Elephas maximus indicus: one gene and its partner. The protein of the gene in region 1 interacts with the protein of each later gene in a pairwise test. Links are inferred from orthologs where the notes say so. Each region holds a gene or a part of one and is shown on either strand. Other genes may lie near its edges.

Evidence for each region.
Region 2: the proteins of NAV2 (region 1) and ING5 interact in binary tests that used the Homo sapiens proteins (3 or more experiments, as listed by UniProt). The two-hybrid records come from large-scale screens. The link is inferred for Elephas maximus indicus from reciprocal best matches to the Homo sapiens genes NAV2 and ING5.

The regions. Positions count from the first base shown.
Region 1 is NC_064825.1:74,992,842-75,001,885, reverse strand, and holds the start of NAV2 (neuron navigator 2), read right to left. Parts: upstream 3,372-9,044; 5' UTR 2,547-3,371; coding exon 2,289-2,546; intron 1-2,288. UniProt on the Homo sapiens protein: Possesses 3' to 5' helicase activity and exonuclease activity. Involved in neuronal development, specifically in the development of different sensory organs.
Region 2 is NC_064824.1:143,513,944-143,522,766, forward strand, and holds the start of ING5 (inhibitor of growth protein 5), read left to right. Parts: upstream 1-5,379; 5' UTR 5,380-5,411; coding exon 5,412-5,448; intron 5,449-8,719; coding exon 8,720-8,791; intron 8,792-8,823. UniProt on the Homo sapiens protein: Component of the HBO1 complex, which specifically mediates acetylation of histone H3 at 'Lys-14' (H3K14ac) and, to a lower extent, acetylation of histone H4. Component of the MOZ/MORF complex which has a histone H3 acetyltransferase activity.

The DNA of each region.
Region 1 (9,044 bases):
TCATCCCCATTTCAGAGCCCACTGGACAAGTCCCACTGACAGGTAGGCAAAAACCAGGATAGAACACTGGGACCCGCAGGGGTCCATCCAGACTGTCCCTGTGGTCAGTGCACAAGGATCCACTGAGGGCAAGAGACACGGAACTGCGGTAATTCTGGGAATTGTGGGCCAAGGGTGAAGGAAGGAACAGCATCATGCCAGCCCCTCAGGGGGAAGCTGGAGAACATTTTTCAGGGGAGACAGTGATGAATCACCTTTCCAGAGCCTGCCCACTGCATGTCCTCTGATAATGTTTGTTAAATGAAGGGTCAAATGGGCAAAGGGTAGAACAGCTGTCTGGAAAGGAACAATCTTGGCCTCTACTTTCCCTCTCGTTCCTCGGATCCTTCTCATCAGCTCGAGGGTGTGTGTCACATCCTGAGTCACCATTCTGGCCTCGCATACACCACCTACCACACCTCATAAACCCCACCTCCAAGGATGAAGGGGAACCCTCCAGTAGCAGTGCACCCCAGTGCTCATCCCCATTTCAGAATCCACTGGACAAGTCCTGTGGCTCACAACAGAAAAAGAGAGCAGAGCACACAATCCTGGTAGAGACAGACCCCAGGAGCATTGGAGGAAATCTTGCCTTCCTCCCACACGCCATCACTCAAACCTGTCAGTTTCCAAAAATGTTTAGCAAGTGTAGCAGCAAGGGGCTTGCTTATCAGCCTGATGTGGGAGCTTAATCTGCTTTGAGGGCCTTCTCCAGCCCAGAGTTCCAGAAGTCTGCTTACAATTAGCCTCCAGCTCCAGTCCCTCCACCAGCAAGGCTAGGAATGTGTTGAGCTCTAGCCTCTGATCAGGGAAATCTCCAGGAGAAGGTGGAGACAGTGTCAGCACGCCAAAAAGGTCAGCTGGTCTGTTGCCACTACCCTGACACCAGCCCCAAACCACCTCCCCCTCTGGCTTTCCCGCCTCTCCTGACCGGGGACAGTCACATCCGTCAGGTTTGCCTGTCCCCAAAAGTCCCTGTTGACCGACTGCCAAGAAAACGCAACATGCCCTCACTCCCTCCTACTAGAACAGCGAAAAAAAGCAGTGGGGAGGGCAGGAGGCCAAGAGAACCGGATTGGCTCTTGCTGATTTCCTTAAAAGAGACTGCCTGGCCAGAGTCTGTCACCCGGCCGAACTGGGTGATGCGGGCTCTGTCTCGTAAGATAGAAGTCACCATCTCCCTTCAAACCATGTCCCCACCCCTGCCCGCAGCCATCCTGGCTACCAGCCCCAGGATCTACCACCCAGGAAGGAGGGGCTAAGCTGCCTAAGAATGGCGGCCACCCCTACCCCCACAGCCAGCCAAGAAGCTAGGAGTCTCCAGCTGCCTGTCTCAGCTGGTGGGTGCACTGGGCACTCATACTGCAGCCCCAGCACCGTGCCCGGAATTCTGTCAGCCCTAGGACAGGCAGGGGCAGGCCACCTTCAAGCCAAGTGGGAAGGTCCCCCCCGCCCCCACCAGGCCCTCTTTCCTGAATCTTGCAGCCAGGTGGAGGTGGGGGGGGGGGCGGGGAACGGTGGTTAGGGCGTTGAGCCCAACGGGAAAAGGGCAAGCCACCGGGTCTCAGACCATTCATTGACAGGGACAAAACCTCTGCGGAACCGACAGACAGACAGAACGACACACACACACACACACACACACACACACACACACACACACACACACACACACACACACACACACACACACACACACACACACACACACACACACACACACACACACACACACACACACACACACACACACACACACACACACACACACACACACACACACACACACACACACACACACACACACACACACACACACACACACACACACACACACACACACACACACACACACACACACACACACACACACACACACACACACACACACACACACACACACTCTGCCTTCTTGGAACCAAGCCTACAAACATATAGGACCTGACATTTCCAGTGAGGTACACGTTTCTTGAGAACACCCCGGCAGTGCCCACCAGAAGGAAGCCGCAGGCGTGGCCACACCGCGGGTCTCACGGATCTCCTTAGGCAAACCTTGAGCACCAGGGCCACACCCACCGGCCGGGCCACTCTTCTCGTGCATCCCAAACCTGCCGGCCTAAGGAAAACGGTTCCCCTCCCGACCCACAGGGTAGCCCTTTTCCCCATCAAGCTGTACCATCCACCCACCCCACCCCCAAAGTATTAACCCACCCTCCCAGATAAGTGCTGCGGCACGCAGCGCCTCTCACCTGGGTATCGAACCCGTTTTCCACGGAACCGCTTTTCCGCAGAGGGAGCCCCTCCCCCGCCGGCTCTTGCAGCCCCTGCGATTTCAGGGGAATCTGGCTAGGGTAGGCGGTCTTGCTCACCTCCACCTTGCTTCCCAACTTGAGGTAGCAGGGCTGGGGGCCGGCCCTGGCCGGGGGCACGTGCAGGATGGGTGCGGCGCTGTGCACCGGTTTGGGAAGTCCCGACTTCATTTTGGAGGCGACCAGGATGGCCGGCATCTTCTCCCGGGGCTTCGGTTTTCCCAGCACGTCCCTGGCAGCGGCGGCGGAGGCGACCGCTAAAGGCAGCGCGGGCAGCAGAGCAGGCGCCGGGCCTCGGCCCGCGAGGCGCCCACTACCAGCGGCGGAATAAAAAAGCCCCGGATCGGGAACTCGGAAGGGGCCGGCGAGCGTGCCTTCGGGGTGCCGGGATGAGAGCCCGGGACTAGTGACTGCGCTCAACGGACCCCACTTGGACCGATGCTGCAGCGGAGTCTCACGCCCTTCCTGGACAAGCCGCTCAAGAGCTCAGGGTGCTAGGAGGCTGCTGCCTCTTGCAATTTTCCTCCTGGGAAACCGAGGCTTGAACGCCCATATTATCTTGTCACTGCATCTCCGAATTGAGGAGGTCCCTTTGGAAGGGAGAAAGCGGCGAGGACGCACGCCTCCCGCTCCAGGAGGCTGCGGGTGTAAGCGGGCGAGGGAAGGAGCGAGTAGCGGAGGAAGGAGAGAAAAAAGGCGCACCGAGCCCAAGACGTCTCCACCAAAAGGTAGCTGCCGCCCCGCTCACGAGCACCGCAGTGTCACCGCGATGCAGAGGCGCGGCGACAGCTCCGGAAAGGTCTCTCTTGGCTTGACAGTCGGTCACCACTGCCCAGAAGCCCCCAGGACAGATAGCACCTTAGTGCCTGCGGGTCTGCACATGCTCGGTGCGCTATAGCGCAGCGAGGTTGTGGCAGTGGGGCGCGGGCACAGGGACGCGCGGCTGGCGGGCTGGGTAGGGCTGCACTCGCGAGCGGCCGCCGCGCTTCCCGGGAAGGTTGCGCTGGCTGCGAGGCTCCGCGCAGGGGAGGACAAGTCGCGGCCGGCGCGGCTGCAGCGCGCGCTGACAGCCCGGGCCGCCCCGGCGCGCCTATTGGTCGGCGGTGAGCCAATCATCGGCCGCAGCTCTCTCTGCAAAGGGGGCGTGGCCTCAACTCTGGGGTCGCCGCCGAAACTCTGGGGCCGCGCTTGGCCTCAAGTACAAAGCAGGCTGGTGGCTGCTCTGCGGCGCTGCTCCGGCGGCGCGCTTCCCGGCGGGCCGACACCCCCACTTCCCTGGAGCCTTATTTTGAAAAATGCCCTTTCGAACGCAAACGCCCGCCTTGGGGCCCTGCGGGTACCGCTCCGAGGAAGTGTGTTTGCCTTTTTCAAATTGCTCAGGTCATCGTAACGGTTAGAGGCTTCCGGAGTAACGCCAGCAGCCTCGCTGCCCCCCATCTGGCCTGGGTAGGGCCTCGCCTTGTCTCCCGCGTAAAGGACGCGCCAGCCGTTTCGCCTCTTTTCTGCCTGCTCTTCCAGGCGGGCCGGGGGGCCTCCCAATAGCTTCCTCTCCAGCTTTCAAAGGCTGCACATTTCACTTAACTATTTGAAGTATTTATAGGCAAATACAATACCCAGAGAAGCCTCCCGTCCCCAGACAACTCCTCCTCACAACCTACCACAGACTCTGTAATTACAGTGGCCTGAGGAAGCCAGGAGAAGGCTCAATGGCCCTAGCAGGCTCTAGCTAAACCAGGCTGCGTTTCATGTCGGAGCCCCTCCCTGTCCGCGCTTCGGACGCACGGGCCCCACAGGTTCCCCGGCTTTAATGCACCTTAGGATTTCTCCCCTAGTCTCAGTCTTGGTAGCTCTGGGTTCCTTGCTGAGTCAAAATATGTGAAAACTGGAAAGGAACTGAGTAATTCAGGCAGGCCAGAGCCCTCCAGATTCACCTACCCGCCCCCCCGACTTCCCCACCCCCGTAGAACTGCCTGGATTTGAATTGGACACGTTCTTTTAACCTTATATGCATTCTTATAAAGCTCTGGTTTTCACATGTAGTTAGGTGGAGGTTTGAGTGCATGTGCAGTTGTTTGGATTAAATGAGATAGTACACATGGCAGTCTTTTAGCATCAAAAACAAACCCAAACCCATTGCCCTCCAAGCAGAAAACTGCCCCATAGGGTTTCCAAGGAGTGGCTGGTGGATTCAAACTGCCAACCTTTTGGTTAGCAGCCAGTCTCTCAACCACGGGGCCACTTAAGCTCCCTTTTAGCACTCATGCCTGGCAATATATTGTTGCCGTTGTGTACCACTGAGTTAATTCCAACTCATAGCAACCATACAGGACAGAGCAGAACTGCCCCATAGGGTTTCCAAGGAGCAGCTGACGGATTACAACTGCTGACCTTTTGGTTAGCAGCCAAGCTCTTAACCACTGTGCCACCAGGACTCTACAATGTTGATAGTATTGATTTATAATTATCCACACCATAGGAAACTTCAAAGTGTAAAACAACCTCTGCAGCATCAAGAAATGAGAAGTTGCCTTCTTACCCTGGCTTGCTCCCTCTGCCACCTTACCTCCCACCCATGCTGTGTACAAACTTTATACTCTAGCTAGGCTGGAATGTGCAGCCCTGTGTATAAGCTGGAGCCCTGGTGGCACAGTGGTCAAGCCCTTGCTGATAACCAAAAAGTTGGGGGTCTGACCCCATCAGCCACTCCATGGGAGTAAGATATGGCAGTCAGCTTCCATAGAGATTACAGTCTTGGAAATCCTATGGGGCAGTTCTACCCTGTCTAATAGGGTCACTATGAGTTGGAATCAACTTGACGGCAATGGGTTTGATTTGGTTTTTTTGTCTCAGGTATCCTTTCTCCCTCTGAAGTTAAATCACACGTGATTTCTGTCACTGATTTAACACTCTGCCCCTTGCCATTAGATGCCACTTCCTGAACTATTGTCTTGCTTTATTTAACTCTTGTTATTTACTGTTTCATTTGTTTCTTTGTTTTCTTCTTAATTAAAGAATAAGCCTCTGGAAGTTAGGGACTGGGCCTTAACTCTCTTTAGATTCTCCAAGCCTGGAGTATAATGCTGTGAACAGAATAGCTACCCAAATTGTTACTGAGTGAATGAATGATGCCGGCACCTGTTCTGAACAAGGGTAGTTGTCTTTTAGATTCAGGACCAAAAAGTCATAAGAAGTATCTCATTATATTAAATCTGGGGACTCTCCTGCCCAGAATTCTGGCTCTGACAGATGTCCCAAGAGTTAGGGAAAGATATTGCTGTCTTCAACACTTCAGCTTCTAAACGTCAAGGAGAGATTTCAAAGCATTCCCTTGCTCCTAATTCAGTGGTTCTCAAAGCCTGGTCCCTGGCTGACCAGCAGCAGCAGCATTTGGAAACTTGCTAGAAAAGCCCTACTCCAGACCTGTTTTTGTTGAATTCATTGCCATTTTCCACAGCTGTAATCTTTACAGAAGCAGACTGCCACATCTTTCTCCAACAGAGTGGCTGGTAGGTTTGAACCACTGACCTTTTGGTTAGCAGCTGAGAGCTTAACCACTGTACCAGCAGGGCTCCTTTTGTTGTTGTTAGGTGTCATCCAGTCAATTTTCAACTCATAGTGAGTCCACGTGACAGAGTAGAACTGACCCATAGGGTTTTCTATAATCTTTATGGGAGGTGTCCTGGTGGGGCAATGGTTAAGTGTTTGCCTATTGTTAAAGCCATCCACTTGTGGTATTTCTGTTATAGCAACACTAGATAATTAAGAAAGAATCTGGTACCAAGAGTGGGGTGTTGCTCTAACAGATACCTAAAACGTGGAAGCAGCTTTATAATTGGGTGATGGGTAAAGGATGGAAGAGTTTTAAAGCCCTAATATCAAAAGCCTCGATTGCCCTGAAGAGATTATTGGTGGAATTATGGACATCAAAGATAATTCTGGTGAGGGCTCAGATGGAAGTGAGGAGAGCTGTAACACCGGGAATGGCAAAGACAGCAAGAAGAAGCAGCAGAGAAACAGTGGCAGCAGAACCAGGAGACTGGTATTAGCACAGGAGCCAACCCATGGAGCAAGAAAGCTGAGCGCCTAGAGGCAGGAGGCTAGCTGGTGGACTGGGGTGCCTCCAGGTACTTATCTGTAGAGCTAAAGAACATTGTAACACTTGCCAGAGCAGGGCAGAGGCCAGGCCAACCTGAAGGGGCAAGGGGCTGAGAAGCTAAGGAACCAAGAAGCAGAAGCTAAAGAGATAAGGAGCATGGGAAGCAGAGGTACCTCAGTCTCAAAGGGTAGGGCCATGACCTTTTGGGGTCTCAAAGAATGGTGCCATGGTCTCCTAGGTTTCAAAGAGTCAGATCATCACCAATTTGGTTCTGGAGCATGGGGCTGCAGTTCATGAATGCCAGGGAAATGGGGCCAGAACTACTGTTCAAAGCTGAGGGGGTAGGGCTGCCATGCCCAAGGGGCAGAAGTTGGACTGCAAGGAGCTGCCCAAATCTGAGGAAGCAGAGTTTCTGTCCAAGTGGGCCTGGAAGGCAGAGCTGAAGCCCAGGGACAAAGAGCCATTACCCAGAGCCTGAAGGGCAGAGCCATTGCCTAAATGATCCTAGAGAAGAGGATTATTTTCAAGCCTTGACAGGTAATTTAATGTGTTCTGCTGGGTTTTGAACTTGCTTGGTACCTGTTATCCCTTTTTTCCTCCCAATTTCTACCATTTATAATGGAAATGTCTACCTTGTGCCTATTCTACCATTGAACTTTGGAAGTAGATAACCTGTATTCTAGACTTCACAGGTGAAGAGGAATTTTACCCCAGGATGGAATTTGGACTTGGAGTTGATTTAAGACTTAGGGATAATATGATGGGATGAATGTGTTTTACATGTGGCAAGGTCATGAATTTTGGGGGCGGGGGGGTCAAAGGATGGAATGTTATGGATTGAATTGTGTCCCCCAAAAATGTGTGTCAGTTTGATTCCCAATATTGTGAGGTTGTTCTCCATTTTGTAATTTGATGTAATTATCCCATATGTTGTAAATCCTAACCTCTATGATGTTATTAAGGCAGGATTAGAGGCAGTTATATTAATGAGGCAGGGCACAATCTACAGGATTAAGTTGTATATTGAGTCAATCTCTTTTGAGATATAAAAGAGACAAGGGAACAGAGAGACAGGGGGACCTCAAACCACCAAGAAAGAAGAGCCAGGAGTACAGCATGTCGCTTGGACCGAGGGTCCTTGAGCTTAGAAGCTCCTAGACCAGGGGAAGATTGATGACAAGGACCTTCCCCCAGAGCTGACAGAGAGACACAGCCTTCCCCTGAAGCTGGTGCCCTCCATTTCGGCTTCTGGCCTCCTAAACTGTGAGAGCTCCTAACCAAAAAGCTGGCAGTTGGAAATTGTAACCCACCTAGTGGCTCTGCAGGAGAAAGACCTGGCAATCTATAAAGATTGTTGTTGTTTGGTGTCCTGGAGTCAATTTTGACTCATAGCAACCCCACGTGACACAGCAGAACTGCCCCACAGGATTTTCTTGTCTTAAATCTTTATGAGAATAGGTTACCAAGTCTTTCTCCTGCAGAGCTACTGGGTGGGTTCCAGCTGCCAACCTTTCATTAGCAGTTGAGCTGTTAACCATTGCGCCACCAGGACTCCTTTTACCCCAGACCTAGAGAGTTAAAACCTGAGGGTGGGGCCAGCAATCTGTGCTTCAATGAGTGTTTAACCTGGTGATTCTGATGCATACTAAAGTTTGAGAACTTCTGCCGTAATGAATATATATCATGCACTCCCTGGGCTTCTTAAGCCTTAATGTCTGTGTGAATCACTGGGGATGTTATTACAATTCAGATTCTGCTTCAGCAGGTATGGAATGAGGCAGAGATTCTGCATTCTGCAGGACGTCCATGCTGGTGATGTGTAGATCACACTGTTAAGTAGTAAGGCTAAGCCATAGGTAGCAAAAGGGTTTCATCTGTGGCTAATTAGTAGTAACTTTCTGTAGCACTGTGCTGAAAAGGATTCTGGGGATGCATCTACCTAGTTTAATTGGTAATAGTTGCTTGATCCATTAATAATATCTGCCATGGGTACAAAAGGGAAATGGTGACGTACATGCTATGTATTTGCAATCTTTGATTTTGCATTTAAATTGTATTTGCTACAAGGTAATTCTCTGAGTTCTAAGACCTTCGAATATGTACTACCATGAAAAACAGTGCTAACATGAAAAACTAATAAAAAATTACTTTCTTTGTATTAAAGATACTTTTTAATATTGTAAGATTTGGTGACCTTATGAGCGCTCACTTTAACGCTGTGATTTATACACCTAAGGTCTATATAATTTCCCACCTTTATTGATCAATAAAGGAGCCCTGGTGATGTACTGATTAAAGTACTTGGCTGCTAACTGAAAGGTAAGTGGTTCAAATCCACCAGCCACTCCATGGGAGAAAGATATGGCAGTCTGCTTCTGTGAAGGTTATAGCCTTAGAAACCCTATCGGGCAATTCTACTCTGTCCTACAAGGTTGCTATGAGTCCAAATCGACTCAGTGGCAATGGGTTAGGTTTTGGTTGATCGAAGACAATCTTTTAGACTGTTTCCAAATTTCTTTCCCTACCTCCTCTCCTTTTATTAATTTTATTTGCTCTTTCCTGGAACATTTTCTCATCTCCCTTTATATCTTTCCTTATAA
Region 2 (8,823 bases), on another chromosome or scaffold:
TCAACATAAAACAAAAATCTTCACAACTGGACCAATAAACTGCATCATGATAAACAGAGAAAAGACTGAAGTTGTCAAGGATTTCATTTTACTTGGATCCACAAGCAACAGCCATGGAAGCAGCAGTCAAGAAATCAAAAGACACCTGGTATTGGGCAAATCTGCTGCAAAAGACCCCTTTAAAGTGTTGAAAAGCAAAGATGTCACCTTGAAGACTAAGGTGCGCCTGACCCAAGCCATGGTATTTTCAATCGCATCATACGCGTGTGAAAGCTGGACAATGAATAAGGAAGATTGAAGAAGAATTGATGCCTTTGAGTTGTGGTGTTGGAGAATATCGAATATACCATGGACTGCCAAAAGAATGAACAAATCTCTCTTGGAAAAAGTACAACCAGAATGCTCCTTAGAAGCACGGATGGCGAGACTATGTCTTACATACTTTGGACACTTTGTCAGGAGGGATCAGTCCCTGGAGAAGGACATCATGCTTGGTAAAGTACAGGGTCAGCAGAAAAGAGGAAGACCCCCAAGGAAATGGATTGACACAGTGGCTACAACAATGGGCTCAAACATAACCATGATAGTATGGATGGCACAGGACCAGGCAGTGTTTTGTTCTGCGGTACACAGGGTTGCTATGAGTCGGAACTGACTCGATGGCATCTAACAACAACAACAATCAACGCCCATGGAAGCAGCAGTCAAGAAATCAAATAATGTATTGCATTGGGCAAATCTGCTGCAAAAGACCTCTTTAAAGTGTTAAAAAGCAAAGATGTCACCTTGAGGACTAAGGTGTGTCTTACCCAATGCATGGTACCTTCAATCATCTCATATGCATGTGAAGACTGGACAATGAATAAGGAAGACTGAAGAATTGACGTATTTGAATTATGGCGTTAGCAAAGAGTTTTGAATATACCAGGGACTACTAGAAGAAGGAACAAATACGTCTTGGAAGAAGTACAACCAGAATGCTCCTTAGAAGCAAGTATAGTGAGACTTTGTCTCGCTTACTTTGGACAGGTTATCAGAAGGGAATAGTCCCTGGAGGACATCATGCTTGGTACAGGGTCATTGAAAAAGAAGAAGGCTTCAAGGAAATGGACTGACACAGTAGCTGCAACGACAGGCTTAAACCTAGCAACAATTGTGAGGATGGTGAAAGACTGGGCAGTGTTTCGTTCTGTTGTGCATGGGGTCGCTATGAATTGGAACCAACCAATGGCACCTAACAACAACAGTACCCTTTGAGCTAGCAATACCATTTCTAAGAATTTATTCTAAAGAACTAATTAGACAATGTGATAAATTAAAGATGGCAGGAAATCCTTGGTTTTCTTCCCATTGAGAGTTGGGGTCTAATTCCCCCGGGATCTCGTTGGTCCAATTCTTTGTTTGATAATAGAATGTAGAGGATGCAATGTCTTGGGACTTCCTAGGCAAGGTCGTAAGAGTTTTGAAGCTTCTATGAGGGTCTCTTGGAACTCTGGAAACCCTGAATGGTCATGTTAGAAGTCCTATCGCCTGACTTGGCTATGCCAGAGAGGCTGTGTGCAGGCGCTCTGGTTCACAGTCCCAGTTGGACCAGCCTTCCAGCCTTCTCTGTCATGTCACAGAGAACAGAAGAATCACCCTGCTGAGCCACGCTGGAACTCCTCATAACACTGAAACAGAATGGTGGTTCCAACCACCAAGTTTTCAGGTAGTCTGTTATAAAGCAATACGTGACTGGAGCCGACAAATACATACAGCTGTGGTACATAATGTTCACTGGGGCACTGCTTATGAAAAACTGGAAACACAACATTGTTCATTGATCAGGAGTGTGCAAAATAAAGTATGGTCCACCAACAGCATTGAATATACCTAGCAAACAGGACGAGGTAGAATTGAGTAAGGCTTGGGGACACTTGTTCATGTCAGAGTGGTAAACCAACCAAGCCCAGTGCCGTCGAGTTGGTTCTGACTGATAGCGACCCTATAGGACAGGGTAGAACCACTCCATAGAGTTTCCAAGGAGCGCCTGGTAGATTCGAACTGCTGACCCTTTGGTTCGGAGCCGTAGCACTTAACCACTACACCACCAGGTCTTCTGTCAGAGTAGTAAGTTATAAATTTAAGTAGGAGAGAAGCAGCTGTGTACAATCATGTTTCTGTTGAAAATGCACACCTGTGTGTGTGTGCTTCCTCATCCAGTATTAAATGGGTCCACAAAGGATTCACTCTGAACTGCTAACACCTGGAGTAAAAAAGGCAAACAAAACAATCACAGTCCTGTGCCCTCAAGTGGGGAAACTTTTATAAGTTCTTATATGGTTTGAACTTTCATAAGAGTGTAAAATTGGCAAAAACAACATGTTTCTATTTTTCAGTATTTGCCCGTGGCTTGGAGGATGGTTAACAAAGGGGAATGTAGCTCTAAAATTATGCTTTATCCATCCCGTCTGGAGCAAAGGAGAGTGAAGAAAACCAAAGATGTGTGGGAAATGTTACTCCAAAGGACCAATGGACCACAAGTACCATAGCTTTCACCAGCCTGAACCCAGAACAACTAGATGATGCCCGGTTACCACCACTGACCCCTCTGACAGGGATCACAGTAGGGGGCCCCAGACAGAGTAGGAGAAAAATGTAGAACAAAATTCAAATTCACACACACAGACACACACAGACACACACAGACACAAAGACCAGGCTTACTGGTCTGACAGAGACTGGAGGAACCCTGAGACTATGGCCCCCAGACACTCTTTTAACTCAGATACAGGTGTATAAAATAAAATAATAGCACACGTGAGAATGTGCTTCTTAGCTGAATCATGTAAATGAGACCAAATGGGCAACACCTGCCCAAATGCTGCGCAAGAAGGCAGGGACAGGAAAAGGAGAGGAATGGACACGGGGCACCTGGGGTGGAGAAGGGGAGAGCGTTAACACCTCGTGGGGACTGCAACCAATGTCACAAAACAATTTGTGCATAAATTGTTCAATGAGAAATCAATTTGCTATGTAAACTCACTTAACCAAAATCCAAACCTGTTGTCGTTGAGTCGATTCTGACTCACAGCGATCTTACAGGACAGGGTACAACTGCCCTATGGTGTTTCCAAGAAGCAGCTGGTGGGTTCGAACTGCCAACCTTTTGGTTAGCAGCCTGAGCTCTCATCCATTGTACCAAAAATAAATAAAAAAATGCTTTAAGTAATGGAATTTGCATTGGTCAGGTTGTGGTGACTTGAACAGCCAACAACTGTAAGACAGGGCTTTACACTAGTTAGTTTGGGTTCACGCTCCTGCTGAGAATTTGCATTTCCACGCCCCCATAAACTGAATCAGAATCTACATTTTAATAAGACCCCCAGCTGATTTTTATGTATAATAAATTTTTAGAACCACTGCTCTACCAGTGGTTCTCAGAATCGGTCCCTAACCAGCGGCGTTATTCGCATTGCCTAGAAAAGAGAAGGAACCAGTTGGAAGCCCTGTGCTGTCATCTTGGCTCCACAGTGATGAGGGCTGGGGGATGCCGCCTTGCCGCCAGCTCTCCCATCCAGTGGTCACCTTTCCCCGGAGCCTGCAGGCATTCTCTACCTCTGGCCAATCTGAGTGAGGAGAGCTTACACCAGCAGGCAGGCCATGCAGGGCTTCTCTCATGGTGTTTGGCCCCCAGTCGGTTGGGCAGCCCAACTGAGGCGGTCTGCGTGCGGCCAGAAAGAGGAGAAACGTGGAACCTGGTGAGCAGCAACCAGGATGACAGCACAAAGCGCAGACACAGAAAAGCAGCACCCTGAACCCAACCTCTCAGGGCATTTTCATTGTCTCTCAGGGTCTTGACACGTGCTTCCGCTTCACTTCTGTGCAGCGTTCTACCCGGTTAACCTTGTATCCCATTGTTACATGGCGCCTGGTGTGCCCCAGGCGCGCGCAGCGCGGGTCGCAGGGCTCCTCTCCAGTGACCGGCAGCGGTAGGGGAAAGCGAATCCACCGATTGGATGCCCTGGGGTGGGCGCTATTGGCAGCGGAGGGGTCAGGAAGGGCCTGGCCGAGGCAATGTTGTGGTGGGGGGTGAAGGTCAGCGGGGAGCCAATGGGGACACATGCGCCGTCGGCCTCCCAGGGATACGAAGCTGGACGCCTGCACGCTGCCGGCTGGGGGCCACGCAGAGCCCAGGCTGGGCTGCGGTGAGCGCCGCGGCTTCTGATGGATTCTGACGACAAGCCGTGATGGGAGCCGTGAGGCGAGGACGGAGGGACCGAGCGCGGGCTCACTGAGCCCCGAGCGCGGATGGCGAGGACAGAGCCGGGCTCACTGAAGCCCGAGCGCGGACGCCAAGGACGGGGGACGGAGCCGGGCTGAACCCCGAGGGCGAACGGCGCGGACAGGGGGACGGAGCGCGGACTCACTGAGCCCCGAGCGCAGACGGCGAGGACGGAGCGCGGGCTCACTGAACCCCCAGCGCGGACGGCGAGGACGGAGCGCGGGCTCACTGAGTCCCGAGAGCGGACAGCGAGGACGCACGTGCAGCCTCCGAGGTGGCTCCGAACGCACCCCTGTCCCCGCGCCCTTCCTGTCCGTGGTCCGGCGTCCCCCTGACCCCAGGCCCCCCACCCTCGTCCCCGCGTCCCCCTGACCCCAGGCCCCCCACCCTCGTCCCCGCGTCCCCCTGACCCCAGGGCCCCCACCCTCGTCCCCGCGTCCCCCTGACCCCAGGGCCCCCACCCTCGTCCCCGCGTCCCCCTGACCCCAGGCCCCGCACCCTCGTCCCCGCGTCCCCCTGACCCCAGGGCCCCCACCCTCGTCCCCGCGTCCCCCTGACCCCAGGCCCCCCACCCTCGTCCCCCTGACCCCAGGCCCCCACCCTCGTCCCCGCGTCCCCCTGACCCCAGGGCCCCCACCCTCGTCCCCGCGTCCCCCTGACCCCAGGCCCCGCACCCTCGTCCCCGCGTCCCCCTGACCCCAGGCCCCCCACCCTCGTCCCCCTGACCCCAGGCCCCCACCCTCGTCCCCGCGTCCCCCTGACCCCAGGGCCCCCACCCTCGTCCCCGCGTCCCCCTGACCCCAGGGCCCCCACCCTCGTCCCCGCGTCCCCCTGACCCCAGGGCCCCCACCCTCGTCCCCGCGTCCCCCTGACCCCAGGGCCCCCACCCTTGTCCCCGGGTCCCCCTGACCCCAGGCCCCCACCCTCGTCCCCCGACCCAGGTCCCCCCGCCCCGCGCCTCCCCGCAGACATCAGCACACGCTCGCTCCGCTGGGCGGAAGCCGAGGGGCGGGCTCCGGGTCCGTCCCGCCCCTCCGCCGGCGCCCGCCAATCAGCGCGCGGCCTTATGAATAGTGAAGCACGGCGCGCCCCGCCCCCTCACGCCGGCACCGCCCGCCCGCGCAGAGCCGAGCGCGGCGCGGAGAAGATGGCGACCGCCATGTACTTGGAGCACTACCTGGACAGTAAGCGCGCGGCCGGCCGCCCCGGCCCGCCCCGCCATCTGGCGCCGTCGCCGCCCAGTTCCCCCGCACGGCGGGCCTTGCGCGGCGGGCGGCGGGGGTTCCCGTGAGGGCGGCCGGGGCGGTGGGGGCGCCGGGCACGCGCGGGGGCGGGGCGCGGGGAGGGCGGGCGGCCGGGTCCGCGCGAATTCCAGGTGCGTCACGGCGGGCGGGGCGGGGCCGGCGTGAGGGGCGGGGCCGGACCGTGGGGCGGGGCCTCAATGCCGGGGCCGGGCGGGCAGGAGGGGGCTCGGATGACGGGGCGGGGCCTGAATACCCGGGGCCGGGCGGGGCCTGGGCGGCGGGGCGGGGGATGAGTAGTGGGGCCAGGTGGGCGTGGCGGGGTCTGGATGGGGGACGGGGCGAGATGGGCGGGGCCTGAATAGCTGGTAGGGTGGGCGTGGCGGGGGCTGGATGAAGGGGCGGGGCATGAATAGTGGGGCCAGGTGGGCGTGGCGGGGTCTGGATGGGGGACGGGGCGAGATGGGCGGGGCCTGAATAGCTGGTAGGGTGGGCGTGGCGGGGGCTGGATGAAGGGGCGGGGCATGAATAGTGGGGCCAGGTGGGCGTGGTGGGGTCTGGATGGAGAGGCGGGGCATGAATAGTGGGGCCAGGTGGGCGTGGCGGGGTCTGGATGGAGGGGCGGGGCATGAATAGTGGGGCCAGGTGGGCGTGGCGGGGTCTGGATGGAGGGGCGGGGCATGAATAGTGGGGCCAGGTGGGCGTGGCGGGGTCTGGATGGAGGGGCGGGGCATGAATAGTGGGGCCAGGTGGGCGTGGCGGGGTCTGGATGGAGGGGCAGGGCAAGATGGGCGGGGCCTGATAAGGGGAAGGTGGGTGGTGTGGGGTCTGAATAGAGGGGCTAGGTAAGGTGAACAGGGCCTGAACAGTGGGTCCATTTTGGGTTCTGGAGGACTGGACGAAAATTGGATGACTAGGTGGGTTCTGCCGGATGGGCGCGGCCTTATGACACAGTGGAGTCTCGTGGGTGGAGCCGGGCCAGATGCTTCTGGGTCCTGTTCTTGTTCCGTGGGCAGGGCTGAGCAGGGCCAGGGCCAGTGGTGGTCGGTGGTACAGTGGAGCAGACCAGGCCTGCGGGGCCCCGGGTCTGAGTTGTGTCCCTATGTGTCCTGGGACCTGCGGCCCCCTTGACAGCGCCCAGTCTCAGTTTCTGCATCGGCACAATGGGGATAGGGACGCTGGTTTGGTGAGTTGTATCGGTTCCCTTTCTTTATTAAGTTGCACGTGGTTCCACGATCAGAATGCTCTCATGCCTTACTGAGCTTGGTAAAGTGGTAAGAATCACGACGGGTGTCCTAATGTGCGATGCGTGCCGAGTCTCCCAATGCTTGGCTGCCTTTTGTCTGCATTACACGAAGCAACAGACTTCTCGCGGAAGTATCCCCATTTTGCAGTTGAGGAAACTGAGGCTCAGAGAGGGTGGTCACTTGCACAAGGTCCCACAGCAAGCTGAGTGGCAGAACCCATGTTTGAATTTAGTGACTATGGGGCAGGTGATTTCCTTGGGGCTGGGTGGGGGCTGAGCTGGCCAGTCTTTCAGGTGGTCTGGTAAGACCATCTCCTTTGGGAGTGCTGCCCTGGGGACTCTGACAGCCTCGCTGGCCTGGGGACTTGGGAGCCCTACTGAGCTTGCTCAGAGGAGTCAGTGAGCCATGTGCCCCTAACTGGCAACAGTGGGAATGCCCAATCCACACTGTTCATTCTGCTCCCTGGTGGCGCAGTGGTTAAGAGCTCGGCTGCCAACCAAAAGGTTGCCAGTTCAAAACCACCAGCTGCTCCTTAAAAAACCCTATGGGGCCCTTCTTGTCTGTTCTTTAGGGTAGCTATGAGTCGTAAACGACTCAACAGCAATGGGTTTTTCTTCTGCCCCCTGAGCAGTGGGAGTCCCCATGTGGGAGAGACAGAATGGGGAGCATGGTGACGGGATGCTTTTACCCTGTCATCACTAAAGACAGTGGAGCCAGTGAGCAGAGCCGGCCATGGCCCAGGAGCAGCCTGGCGTCTGAAGGGGAGCATGGTGTCCTCCTCTGTATCCCGGTCCTGCCCAGTGGGTACAGCAGGTACTCAGAGGGCTTGGGGACACGTGTGCCTCCCCTGCGTGGGTACAGGGACAGTTGCCCCTGTTCCCCTCCTGGGCACCATGGTGCGCTGTGCCAGGTGGGGGCCGGGAAGCCCTGAAAACAGACATGGCCTTGTGCTCCTGGAACTTCTCCCACATGGGTAGGACGGGGCTTTAAAATTCGCAGAACCTACAAGGCTACAGGGAACCAGCAGGTGGGAGAGTATGGTGTGGTGGCCCGTCCTGCAGTGTGGAGCTCAGGAGCCTGGGTCGTTGGACAGACTGGTGTGGTGGGAACAGAGGGTGGGATGTAGGGGCATGTTTAGGGAGGATGTGGAGGGGGATATGTAGGTCTGTGGGGGCACTGTGGGAGCAGAGAGGCTGGGGTGGAGGGGGATGTGTAGCGGGGCGTGGAGGGGGACACGTCGGGGGACACGTGGGGGGATGTATATGGGAATGCATAGGCCTGTGGGGGCACAGTGGGAGCAGAGAGGCTGGGGCAGAGGGGGATGCGTCGGGGGGCACACAGGCTGGTGGGCACGCTGGCCCAAAAGCTGAAGAGTGGGGTCCTCTGACCTGCGTGGTCTAGTATTGTAGCCCCCAGCCTCAAGAACCATCTAACCTTAATTATCATTAAGTAAACCTAACGCTTCATTTCCCCAGTGCACTAGCCACATTTTAAGTGCTCAGTAGCTGCTGTGCCAGGCAGTTCAGAGAGAGCATTCCCTCCTTGTAGGAATTCTCTTGGCAGTGGTGGTCTGCACCTGCCTATGCCCAGGGTCTCAGGAAAGTGAAGGGCATATCACGGAGCATGCCGGGTCAGGGGGCGACAGCAGGTCGGGGGGCAACGGCAGGTCCGGGGGCGACGGCCAGGTCCAGGGGTGATGGCAGGTCCATGGGCTGTGATGGGTTTGGCCAATGGGCTGTCTTCCTTGCCCTGCTTTCAACTCGTATCTGCGTCACTGCTAACTTCTCTATTTCTGACAAGTGTCAGCCTCTGCCAGCAGTGTTTGGTGCCTGTTCCTGAAAAAGAGATTTTCATCCTTCTCTTTCCGAAACCCCAACAAAACAGACGGGAATGGCTGTAGAACCTTGTGGGCAGGTCTTGGTCCTGCTATTGAGACTCACACGGAGCCTCCTGTCTTGGTGTTTCAGGTATCGAGAACCTTCCCTGTGAGCTTCAGAGGAACTTCCAGCTGATGCGTGAGCTGGACCAGAGGACGGAAGGTGGGTGCAGGCCTGCTGTGCAGCTGGGAGCT